3 linked regions of the Struthio camelus genome follow. The protein of the gene in region 1 purifies or fractionates together with the protein of each later gene. This does not show direct contact. Links are inferred from orthologs where the notes say so. Each region holds a gene or a part of one and is shown in the gene's direction. Other genes may lie near its edges. The genes, in order: tubulin alpha-1A chain, DNAJB6 and TCP11L2.

The links.
Region 2: the proteins of tubulin alpha-1A chain (region 1) and DNAJB6 purify together in Homo sapiens (pull-down; 3 studies listed by BioGRID and IntAct, with this or other methods). This does not show direct contact. The link is inferred for Struthio camelus from reciprocal best matches to the Homo sapiens genes TUBA1A and DNAJB6.
Region 3: the proteins of tubulin alpha-1A chain (region 1) and TCP11L2 purify together in Homo sapiens (affinity purification with mass spectrometry; 3 studies listed by BioGRID and IntAct, counting the BioPlex papers as one, with this or other methods). This does not show direct contact. The link is inferred for Struthio camelus from reciprocal best matches to the Homo sapiens genes TUBA1A and TCP11L2.

What each region holds. Positions count from the first base shown.
Region 1 is NC_090969.1:909,311-913,053, forward strand, and holds the start of tubulin alpha-1A chain, read left to right. Parts: upstream 1-1,078; 5' UTR 1,079-1,401; coding exon 1,402-1,404; intron 1,405-2,988; coding exon 2,989-3,211; intron 3,212-3,291; coding exon 3,292-3,440; intron 3,441-3,743. UniProt on the Homo sapiens protein: Tubulin is the major constituent of microtubules, a cylinder consisting of laterally associated linear protofilaments composed of alpha- and beta-tubulin heterodimers.
Region 2 is NC_090943.1:10,887,369-10,891,111, forward strand, and holds the start of DNAJB6 (dnaJ homolog subfamily B member 6), read left to right. Parts: upstream 1-1,074; 5' UTR 1,075-1,217; intron 1,218-3,743. UniProt on the Homo sapiens protein: Has a stimulatory effect on the ATPase activity of HSP70 in a dose-dependent and time-dependent manner and hence acts as a co-chaperone of HSP70. Plays an indispensable role in the organization of KRT8/KRT18 filaments.
Region 3 is NC_090942.1:61,813,855-61,817,597, reverse strand, and holds the start of TCP11L2 (T-complex protein 11-like protein 2), read left to right. Parts: upstream 1-923; 5' UTR 924-1,255; intron 1,256-3,743. UniProt on the Homo sapiens protein: Promotes the migration of muscle-derived satellite cells (MDSCs) during differentiation throught interaction with FMNL2 and therefore may participate in microfilament assembly.

The sequences.
Region 1 (3,743 bases):
CGGGGGGGTGCACCAGATCGGGGCAGGGGGGCTGCGCAGGGGCTGCAGCAGATGGAGGGGGGAGACGTGGCCCCCCCGTCCCCCCGCTGGCCCCCCGCTGGGTCCCAGGCACCGGCTGCTCCTGGAAGCAGCTGCCGCTGGGGCTGGGAACCCCCCGGCCGCAGCCAGCCCATCTGCAGGGCGCTGCCCAAACCCCCCGGGAGCCGCTCCAGGAGCGGCCGCGGGGCTCTCCGGTGGGGCCCAAGGGGCTGACTGGGGTGCAGAGAGGGCTGGCAAGGGAACAGGGCCACGGCGCGGCTCTCACCAGGAGCAGGGCACGGCGGGAACGGGCAGCAGGATGGGGCTGGGGACCAGGGCACCGGGGCACGGCCAGGAACAGGGGCACGGCCAGGAACGGGGACCAGGGCGTGGCCGGGAACGGGGACACGGCCGGGAACGGGGACACGGCGGGGATGGGGACCAGGGCGTGGCCGGGAACGGGGACACGGCCGGGAACGGGGACCGCGGCACGGCGGGGATGGGGACCAGGGTGTGGCCAGGAACGGGGACACAGCGAGGAACGGGGACCGTGGCACGGCGGGGATGGGGACCAGGGTGTGGCCGGGAACGGGGACAGTGCTGGGAACGGGGACCGTGGCACGGCGGGGATGGGGACCAGGGTGTGGCCAGGAACGGGGACACGGCCGGGAACGGGGACCGCGGCACGGCGGGGATGGGGACCAGGGTGTGGCCGGGAACGGGGACAGTGCTGGGAACGGGGACCGCGGCACGGCGGGGATGGGGACCAGGGTGTGGCCGGGAACGGGGACAGTGCTGGGAACGGGGACCGTGGCACGGCGGGGATGGGGACCAGAGCACAGCCGGGAACAGGGACCGCGGCACGGTGGGGATGGGGACCAGGGCGTGGCCGGGTATGGGGACACAGTGAGGAATGGGGACCAGGGCACGGTGGGGATGGGGACCACGGCATGGCCAGGACTGGGGACAGGACTGGTCACGGGGACCGGAGCACCGCTGGGAACCGGGGCACCAGGACACAGCCAGGAACAGGGACCGCGGCACGGTGGGGATGGGGACCAGGGCGTGACCGGGCCCGGGGCTGGGAACCGGGGCTCGGCCGGGAAGGGAGCCCGAGCACGGCCGCATCCCCCCCGGGGCTGGAGAACGACGAGGCGAGGGGGCACAAAGAGCCGAGCCCCCCCCCGCCGCTCCTTTGTCTGGCGGCGCCGGGGGGGCATTACCTCATCGCGGCCCCGCGCCAATGGCCGCCGCCGCCGCCGCCCCGCCCGGCCCCGCCGCCCGCCCTATAAAGCGCCGCGCCGGGGCCGCCCGCCGCCGCGTCTCTTACATCGACCGCCTTGGAGTCGTGCTGTAAGAAAGCCCCGGAGCCGAGCAGCCGCCATGGTGAGCACCGGCCGCGGGGCCCCGGGGGGCGGCGGTGGCGGCGGGGAGCCGCCTCTGCGCCCGCTGCACCGCCCGGCGCCGCGGCGGCGGGGGCCCCGCTCCCCGCCCCCGTTATTGCAGCAGGATGGGAGCCGGTGCGGAGCGCTCAGCTCGGTTCACCGGGCGTGGCTCCCCCGTTAATAGGGCAGGATGGGACCCGTTCCCGGTGCGGAGCGCTCAGCTCGGTTCACCGGGCGTGGCTCCCCCGTTAATAGGGCAGGATGGGACCCGTTCCCGGTGCGGAGCGCTCAGCTCGGTTCACCGGGTGTGGTTCCCCCGTTAATAGGGCAGGATGGGACCCGTTCCCGGTGCGGAGCGCTCAGCTCGGTTCACCGGGCGTGGCTCCCCCGTTAATAGGGCAGGATGGGACCCGTTCCCGGTGCGGAGCGCTCAGCTCGGTTCACCGGGCGTGGCTCCCCCGTTAATAGGGCAGGATGGGACCCGTTCCCGGTGCGGAGTGCTCAGCTCGGTTCACTGGGTGTGGCTCCCCCGTTAATGCAGCAGGATGGGACCCGTTCCCGGTGCGGAGTGCTCAGCTCGGTTCACTGGGTGTGGCTCCCCCGTTAATGCAGCAGGATGGGACCCGTTCCCGGTGTGGAGTGCTCAGCTCGGTTCACTGGGTGTGGCTCCCCCGTTAATGCAGCAGGATGGGACCCGTTCCCGGTGTGGAGTGCTCAGCTCGGTTCACTGGGTGTGGCTCCCCCGTTAATGCAGCAGGATGGGACCCGTTCCCGGTGCGGAGTGCTCAGCTCGGTTCACTGGGTGTGGCTCCCCCATTAATAGGGCAGGATGGGACCCGGTGTGGGAGTGCTCAGCTCAATTAACTGGGTGTGGCTCCCCTGTTAACGGAGCAGGATGGATCCCGTTCCTGGTGTGGAGTGCTCAGTCTGCACTGGGTGTGGCCCCCCTGTTTAATGGGGTGTTCAGGGTGGGATAAGCCTCTCCTGGTGCTGAGCACCCTGATCTTGCCCTGGGCACAGCACCAAAAGTGGGCAGGGCTGGATGAGCCCCTGGTGCTGAGTGCCCCACAGTGGGTGTGGCCCTGGTTCTCAGGGGTCCCTGTGGGGTCTGTGGGGAGGACAGGGTGGGATGAGACCCCTGTGCTGAGCCTGCAACCCACACTGCGCATTGCACCAGAGTGTGGGTGGGCAGAATAAGCGCCCTGGTGCTGAGCCCTCAACATATACTAGGGATGGCAGTGGTCCAATTGTGTGGGTGAGGCAGGATGAGACCCTCTGGTCTTCATGTTGCATGGGGTGTGGCCCCTGTTCAGTGGGGCAGGATGGGTCCCTGGTGCTGAGCACTGCCACACCGCACTGGGTGTGGCTCTGGTTCCCAAACAGCAGGGCTGGATATGGCCACGGGTGCAGAGCCCCTCCCCTCCCCGCAGTGCCCAGCACCCACAGAACAATAGAGCGGGTGCAGGGGCTGGCCCCATCCAGCCCAAGGCACAGGGCAGCGTTGTGGGGGGCAGAGCCGGCGCTGGCAGGACCTGGGGGGCGCAGAGCCGGGGCGCTGGCTCACGCCCCCCGCTCCCCCCCGCAGCGCGAGTGCATCTCCATCCACGTGGGCCAAGCGGGCGTGCAGATCGGCAATGCCTGCTGGGAGCTGTACTGCCTGGAGCACGGCATCCAGCCCGACGGGCAGATGCCCAGCGACAAGACCATCGGCGGCGGCGACGACTCCTTCAACACCTTCTTCAGCGAGACGGGGGCCGGCAAGCACGTGCCCCGCGCCGTCTTCGTGGACCTGGAGCCGACGGTGATCGGTGAGCGCGGGGCGGGGGGTGCCGGTGCTGGTGGTGGTGCCGCCGGCGGCGCTAACGGGGTGCCTGGCCTCATCCCGCAGACGAAGTGCGCACGGGGACCTACCGGCAGCTCTTCCACCCCGAGCAGCTGATCACGGGCAAGGAGGATGCGGCCAACAACTACGCCCGGGGGCACTACACCATCGGCAAAGAGATCATCGACCTGGTCCTCGACCGCATCCGCAAGCTGGTAGGGGCCGGGGGGCGCTGGTGGGCGGGCGACAAGGACAAAGACTCCTCTTCAGCTCGCCCTCCCTCCTGACCAGCAAGGCTGGATTTAGATTTAATATATTAATTAATGTTAATCCGGCTGCGCCGCCCGGCTTGGCGGGGCGGCTCCCATTGGCCGGCGGCTCCCGGCAGCAGCGTGCGTCGCAGCTGGAGAGCGCTCGGGGCCGCGCCAGCCCCCGGCCCCCCTCGGTGCTGAGCTCTGCAATTCCCTCTTTGTTCCGCCTGAGTTCCTCATCGCAGCCTGAGCCCAGCTGCGTTTGGG
Region 2 (3,743 bases), on another chromosome or scaffold:
TGCTAGACCTTGAATCTTCTGAGGTTTGCAACTGCACCTGTTAGAAAGAGCCAGTCTAACCTACTGTTCTTCGTTTTTTGTTTTTCTTTCCAAGTGGGTCAAAAACTTTCTGCACTTCACAGCTAATTGCTGACGGGAAACTTACACTGGTGCTAGGTATGTCTTTGATGTAAATTAAGGACTTGTTTTCATGACCCCAGTTTGGCATCAAATCTCACTGCAGCTAAATTTCTTTCGAAGCCAGGGCTATCCTACCAGTTACCTTTCTGATTTTTATTAGGTTTTCCTCTGGCTTATTCCAAGCTTGCTTGTTCCTTCTTGCGTTGGTACATCTTACTCCGACATAAGCATTTTCATCTCCAAATTCCTGAGTAGCCTTTGAATTAACTTCATTTTGGGAGCAGATAGGTTTTACATTTGGAAACTCTCTAATTTCAGTTCACTGATCCATAAAACAATGCCTTTATGCAACTTCTTTTAAATAAAGGGCAAGAAATACAGTTTTGCAGCAATTTAAAGCATGGATAAACTCCATTTTTTTAAAATAGAATTATTACTTGGCAGCTTATGCTATGCTCTCCCTGCTCACGCTTTTCTCACAGCCGTCAGAAAACCACATACTCAAAACATGACCCAAGGGATACTTAAATTTCAGACAGCACAGTGTGAGCCACAAAGGAACCTGTACAGGTGCCAGCTGGAAAACAATTAATGTAGCCTTAAAATAAGCTCAGGGGAAGGGTTACAATTTTTGAGGCTAAAAAAGAGATGGGCATGTAGGGATTTTAATCAGCCTTTTCACTTTTCCGTGCCCTGGGGCAGGGAGGGCCGTTGCAGAGGCTCTTCTGCCCCCGGGGCTCCGGTGAGGGGCCGGCACCCCCGGGCGCGGGCGGCCGTTACAGCCGTTGGTGGGAGGGGGGAGGTTCGAACGCAGCCCCTCCCCACCCCCCCCCCCCGGCGGCGCGCGCGCGCGCGCTGCAGGGCGGCGGGCAGCCAGCAGGGGGCGGGGTCGGCCCGCGCGGCGCCCGGCGGGCGGGCCGGCCGCGGCGAGAGCACGCCTTTCCAGAAACTTCCGGAAACAGCCGGGCGGAAGTGACGGCGTCGCGTTGACGAGACTTCCCGTTTGAGTCCGAGGAGAGGTGCCGCTGCCGCCGCCGCTGCCGTTGCGCCGGGCGGGCGGGGAGGGTGACGGCCGCGCTGCTGAGGCTCCGGGGCCGGTGAGTGCTGGGCGGGCCGCGGAAGGCCGTGGCGGCGGGCAGGGCGGGCCGGCCTCGGCCTCGGCTCTGGGCAGCGGTGTGGGGCCCGGCCCGGCTCGGCCCGGCTCGGCTCGGCCCGGCTGGGCGGCCGCCATGCTGCGGGCTGGCGCGGGGGCGCCGCGCTGGGGAGCCCCTGCGGCGGCTCCTGGGAGGCGGGAGCGAGGGCTGCGTGGGCAGCGGAGCGGGGCGGCGGGGATCCCCGGCCCTCGGGGGCGGGGAGCGGGGGAGCCGCCCCCGCGGGCAGCGGCCTCCTTGGGCTTATCCCGGGAGTCGCGGTGGCGGAGCGGCAGTTCGGGACTGCGCAGCGGAGGATCCCGAGGCGGCTCGGCCTCCTTCTCCTGTTTACGGCAAGCGCAGAAGGGCTAGGGGGAAAAAAATCCGCATTTCTGTTTTTGTTTGCATCGGTTGCCAGTAGCAAAAAGGTGAGGGGGAGTCTCTGTTCACCCATGACTCTTTTGAGTGTGTTGGATCGTCTTTTACTTGAACTTCTTTTATTCGTAGTTTACTTTTTGGTGTGTTTATAAACTGAATGTGCTTTTGCTTTTTTTTTTTTTTTTTGCGATGGAAGCTGTATTCTATTTTGCTGTTATTAACTTACAGAGTAGGCTCAGTATGATGTGCTGTGTTTGAGGGCAGCACATCATTTGAGTGGTGGCCAGAGGTGTCCAAGTTATAAATGGCTTTGTATTTTCAGGACTTAGGAGAGGGCCGTGGGTTGGGAAGTGAAGTTATTTATGACCAGTATTCCTGCTTGTAGTAACACTTTATGCTGTATTACAGTTTAACAGTCAGAGCTTGTGCTGGTTGATGAAATGCGCCACAGACTTGAGCGTTAGAAGAGACTGAAAACATTGAGCAAATCTATCATGAATTCTGATAATGAGATAATGCTTGGTTGATTTCATTTTGGCCAGGATAACATTATAGAAGCTGAATTTGCAGCGATGCTAATGTGCAAATGGTCAAACTTGCAACATTGCATAGTCAATCAGTTGTCAAGTGCTTTTTTTTTTTTTAATATGATGTAAAGCATCAAAGAGTGATAAGAACAAGGTGTTGACATAGTGTGACTAGCTGGAATGAAACTGGGTTCAAACTCTTGGTCCTCTGAGATTGCAGTTACTGCTGCTTGCTGGACTTAAGTTTTGTTTACACTTTGGGGAGCTCCTTGTTTTCCAGTCAGGAAGGATTATATGTTCAGTTGATGAATCAAGAGCCCAGTGGTTAAAGTACAATTTAGTTTGCTGGATTATGTTGTCAGAGAAGATTTGTTTGGACCAGTGAGTAAATGCTTTCATAAATTTTGTTCCTATGTTTACTTTTTTGTGTAGTTTGTTTCTTTTGCTTTTCTTTCTGGAGTCCTACAACTGACTGAAATGCCACACCACTTGTGTTAGCCATTCTGCTCTTGTGCTGCAGGCTGTAGAGAAGTAGTGCATCTTGACTGAGTCAATGTATTGGACTTTCAGGTTTCAGCAAACAGTCTGTTTTTACTGTATGTAGTGATGATTTTGATAGAAAATGTGAAGTCCAGCCTTGATTTTAGAAAATGTGAAGTCCAGCCTTGATTTTAGAAAATGTGAAGTCCAGCCTTGATTTTAGAAAATGTGAAGTCCAGCCTTGATTTTAGAAAATGTGAAGTCCAGCCTTGATTTTAGAAAATGTGAAGTCCAGCCTTGATTTTAGAAAATGTGAAGTCCAGCCTTGATTTTAGAAAATGTGAAGTCCAGCCTTGATTTTAGAAAATGTGAAGTCCAGCCTTGATTTTAGAAAATGTGAAGTCCAGCCTTGATTTTAGAAAATGTGAAGTCCAGCCTTGATTTTAGAAAATGTGAAGTCCAGCCTTGATTTTAGAAAATGTGAAGTCCAGCCTTGATTTTAGAAAATGTGAAGTCCAGCCTTGATTTTAGAAAATGTGAAGTCCAGCCTTGATTTTAGAAAATGTGAAGTCCAGCCTTGATTTTAGAAAATGTGAAGTCCAGCCTTGATTTTAGAAAATGTGAAGTCCAGCCTTGATTTTAGAAAATGTGAAGTCCAGCCTTGATTTTAGAAAATGTGAAGTCCAGCCTTGATTTTAGAAAATGTGAAGTCCAGCCTTGATTTTAGAAAATGTGAAGTCCAGCCTTGATTTTGAACGTAGAGTTGTGCAGTGTTTAGTATTCCAGTATTTTTCTCCTTACGTAGTAAATGATGCATTTCTTCAGTAGCATTTATGAAGAACCTAATCAGCAGTATCCTGAACTCATTTTCTGCTAACGGAAAATGATTTTTTTTTTTTTAAATCTATAAAGTAACTTGATTTATTCAAGGAATGGAAGGATTAGTGAAAACTTATCTAGCTCTGTTAAAGCTTAGTGGATCTTATGTATGATGATTGTGTATTTCAAGATAAATTTAAATCAAAACTCCTATATTTGATCTGGGGTTTAAATTATTGTTTTCTTTACTTTTGCATGAGATTTGAATGGATGTTAGATTTCTCTTGAA
Region 3 (3,743 bases), on another chromosome or scaffold:
GACACAAAGCGGCACGGCTCTGCATCTCTTGGAAAAGCACTCCACCTCACGCAGGATGCGCTTTGCGCTCTTGCTTTTATAGCCGAGGCCGTATCGCTAGGACCTACGGTGGACTTGGGCCCTCTGAATACAGCGTCTAGCCCCATATAGTTTTGTCACACGTGCTAGTGATGAAGTAGTTGTTTGCAGGAAGGCGAGGCCTGTGTCTTGGTAAGGACGGAGGCTTGCTTTAGTAAGCCCCTGCCTCGGATGGGCGCCAGCGTTTGCCCTGCGAGGTGGGGCAGCAGTGGCAAACTAGCTCCCGTGACAGGAAGAGATGACGGCCTGACAGGTCCTGCTACCCGCCGTGGGTCTCCGAACCGGCTCCGCGGATGAGGTCAACGCAGCAGTAAGCAAAGCACTTATAATTTATAACAGCGCTGTAGGGCTTCCCGGCGCGTGCCTCAGCGGGCGCTCGCCCGGCCTCGCAATGCCGCAGCCGTGAGCCAGGCGGGAGCGTGACGGCGGACGCAGCCCCGAAGGGCTCCCTTGAGGCCAAGATGGCCGGTGGCGCCTCGACGGGAGGGCAGCGGACAGCGGGGCAGGGAAGCCTCTGGGGGGCACATTCAAAGCTTCCTCGGCAGCGCTATGAACAGAGCGGGGCGAAGGCGCCCGTGGGGCGGCGGTGCCCGGTGCCCGCTCCTGCCCTGCTGAAGGCCGGCAGTTCGCGCCCCACACGGCCCCCGCCGCGAGGGGGCCGCCGCCACCCCTCCCCTCCCCTCCCCTCCCCTCCCCCACCCCGAGGTAGCTCCCTGGGGCGGGGCTTAAGCGCGGAGGCCCCGCCCCCTGGCGAAGGGGCGGGGTCTGGCTGGACCGACGCGGCTCTTCCGTAAACACCGCCCGGCCCTTCCTCTCGCCTCTCCCCCCGCTTCCCGGCAGGGCTCATTCAGCGGGAGGGGGGGGAGGAGGGAGAAGCAGTAGAAGCGTCTTGCCTTGTAAACTCATCTTTTTCCACGCTTAGTGCTCGGCTCCGGACAAAATGAGGACGCAAGAATGATTTGTATGGCGGTAGGGAGAAGGTTAACCCAGGTCCTTCGGGATAACTCGCTACTGGCCATGCAGCAAAGTGCTAAGCACCCCCTGCTCCCGGCAGGAGATGGACGCGCCCAAGGAAGAGACTAATAGTCCGGGCCGGGTATATAACTCGGGGGGGGGGGGGGGGGGTGTTTAAAGCCCCAGCGATCGCCGCTGAGTAGGGTGAGCTGCTGTCGCCGCGGTGAGTGCCCGGGGGGAGCTGGGGCTGGTTAAAGGTGGCCGGGGGGCTCCTACCCTGCCGGGCGGCGAGCACTGGCTGCTCTGCTCTCCCGGCGAGGCCGGAGGCTCCGCAGCTGCCCCGGGGCATCCGCTGCAGCCGGTGGGTCTGGCAGCCCCGGGTGGCCGCCGCGCGCCCCGTGCCCCCTACGCCCAGGGCTGTCTCTCTTCCATCCCCTGATGGCCGCTGTCCGCCGGGGCGGCCCGGCCCGACGAGCAGCACCGGCTGCCGTCCTTGCAGCCCCGCTCCGGCCGCGCAAGGGCACCCCGGGGCTGCGTCCCCGCCGCGGCTGCCCCGCACGGCCAGGGTGCCCGGCGCCCCTCTCCCACCCCGCGGGGCCGCGCCTGGCAGCCGCTGTCACCTTCCCCGGGGCTGGCGGAGAGGGTGCCCCCTTCTCCTCTCCTCCCTTCCTTCCCCCCCGCCCCGGGCCTGTCCTTGGAAACGCTGTTTGTTTTGGTCGGCGAGTGCCAAACTCCTGCCTCTGCTAACTTAAAAAACATGGGGCTGGGGGAGGAGACACGGGGCTAAACAGATGGAGGAAGAGGAGGAGCCCGCGGCGCTTCCTCCTCCTTCTCCCCCCCCCCCCCCCGCACCGCGCCGGGGAGAGGGGGGACAACATGGCGGGGGGGGAGCACAACATGGCGGGGGGGAAGGGTCACCCCGGGCCGCCGCCGAGGGGCGGTTTTGCCCCTCGCCCCGGCCCTGAGGAAAGCGCGTTACGTTGCAGGAGGGTGTGAAGCAGCGCGGCTGTCAGAAAAGTCTGTCAGAAACGGGCTGTCAAAATTGGGAAGGGGAGAAGGGAGGGCCGAGGAGGTTCTGTAGCTCTTAACAAAGGCTCTTTTCTCCTCCTGGGCCGTGGGACCGCGGACCAAGTGCTGGCAAAGGCCGAGTCCGGAAGGGAAACTCTAGCCCAAAGGAGATGCAGTAGATGCCAGCTCTGGAGGGCATAAGCCCAGTGGGATAAACACAACTCAGTTCATAGTGGTAAAACAGGACAGAGTGCTTGAAGCGTGCGCAGAAGCAGGGCTGTGGGAAAAAAAAAAAACTTGAAGATATCTGAAAAGAAACAAAACCTGCTGCTGCTTCTTTCCCGGTGCTCCATAAAATAACTATTAAATGCTTAGGAGTAAAAGTGTGTGTGTGTGAGAGGGGGAGAGATGTTGTGGACCAGGTAATACCAAAGGGGTAAAGACGTGTGTTGTTGAGTGTGACTGGAAGGTGCCCTAAAACTAACCTTCACCTGGTCTTGTGATCTAGTCACCTCTCAGTGAATGCTGAGGTTGGGTGAAGTAATGACTGTGTAAGAGTAGGATGCTGTCAGAAAACTGCTGTGCTGTGCTCCATTGCAGATTTAGTAAAACACATAATCTGAAATTGTGTACAAACAGCAGCAGAATCCATGATAGTTGACTTCTTCCCTTTTAAATTAACTAAGACTTGGTTATGACAGAGAAGAGAAAATGGGCTGATGCCTTGGGCATTTAGAAGTTATTCTAGCTTTGTCGCATACCAAGAGCTTATCCTTGAAATACTGAAATGCAATAGAACTGATTAAAAAAAAAAAGCTTAATGAAATCTACTGCCAACTTATCAAACCTTTATTTTAATTAAAGTAGACATTAGTTACTTTTTAGTACAGGAAAGGTAAAGCAGGTTGTAATCAGAGTCTGACTCTTTAGTAGAATAGGTAGGATATTAAGTTGTCTATTAAAACAACAGCTTAATATATAATTCCTAATGAAGAACTTACAAATAAGATGGTGGTATTGTCTAGTTCAGATGTTGAATTACAAAGTGATCCTAGAAAACTAAAAGGTTTTCTGAAGTATTTTTACTTGGAAATTATATTAATCTAAACTTCAAAATTACACATTAACCTTGCCCTCTCTTAACTTCTGAGGAGGTCTAAACCGTCTACAAAAGCATACGGAAAAGAAGCTGTTCCAGTGTGTGCTATTGAGAAAGCACTAAACAATTCAGTCCTCTATTGTTCTAACTAATTAGAAAAGCCTTCTTCAGTTTGCACTTCACTTCGATATACTCAATTAATGTTTTTCCTTTGTGCTATTTAGCTGTTGGGCAGCGTATTAAAAACACTAGATTGCATATCCAGCTTCTGCTTTGTGTATTCCACTTGTTTCCTTTGATGTGCTTTCTGCCTCCCGTATCTGTTAAACTTGCAATTTAGCAGCGATGTTGTGAATCTGCAGCATACACCCATTTTCTTCCTCGCCATTTTCCTTGGGAAGTCCTATTTGGAAATCCTACTAGGAAATCCATTTATTCTGGCAGGGGTTGCAACTTTTCAGTGTCTCATGTTGCACTGTTGAAACTCGTTAATTAAGTGAAGTCCTCTGAAGTACTGTACTGGTAATACTATATGAACAGCTGTGATCTCAGTACATCAAAACAGGTTATGCGTCTCTCTGAAATGCAGGTATTTGTTGCTGAA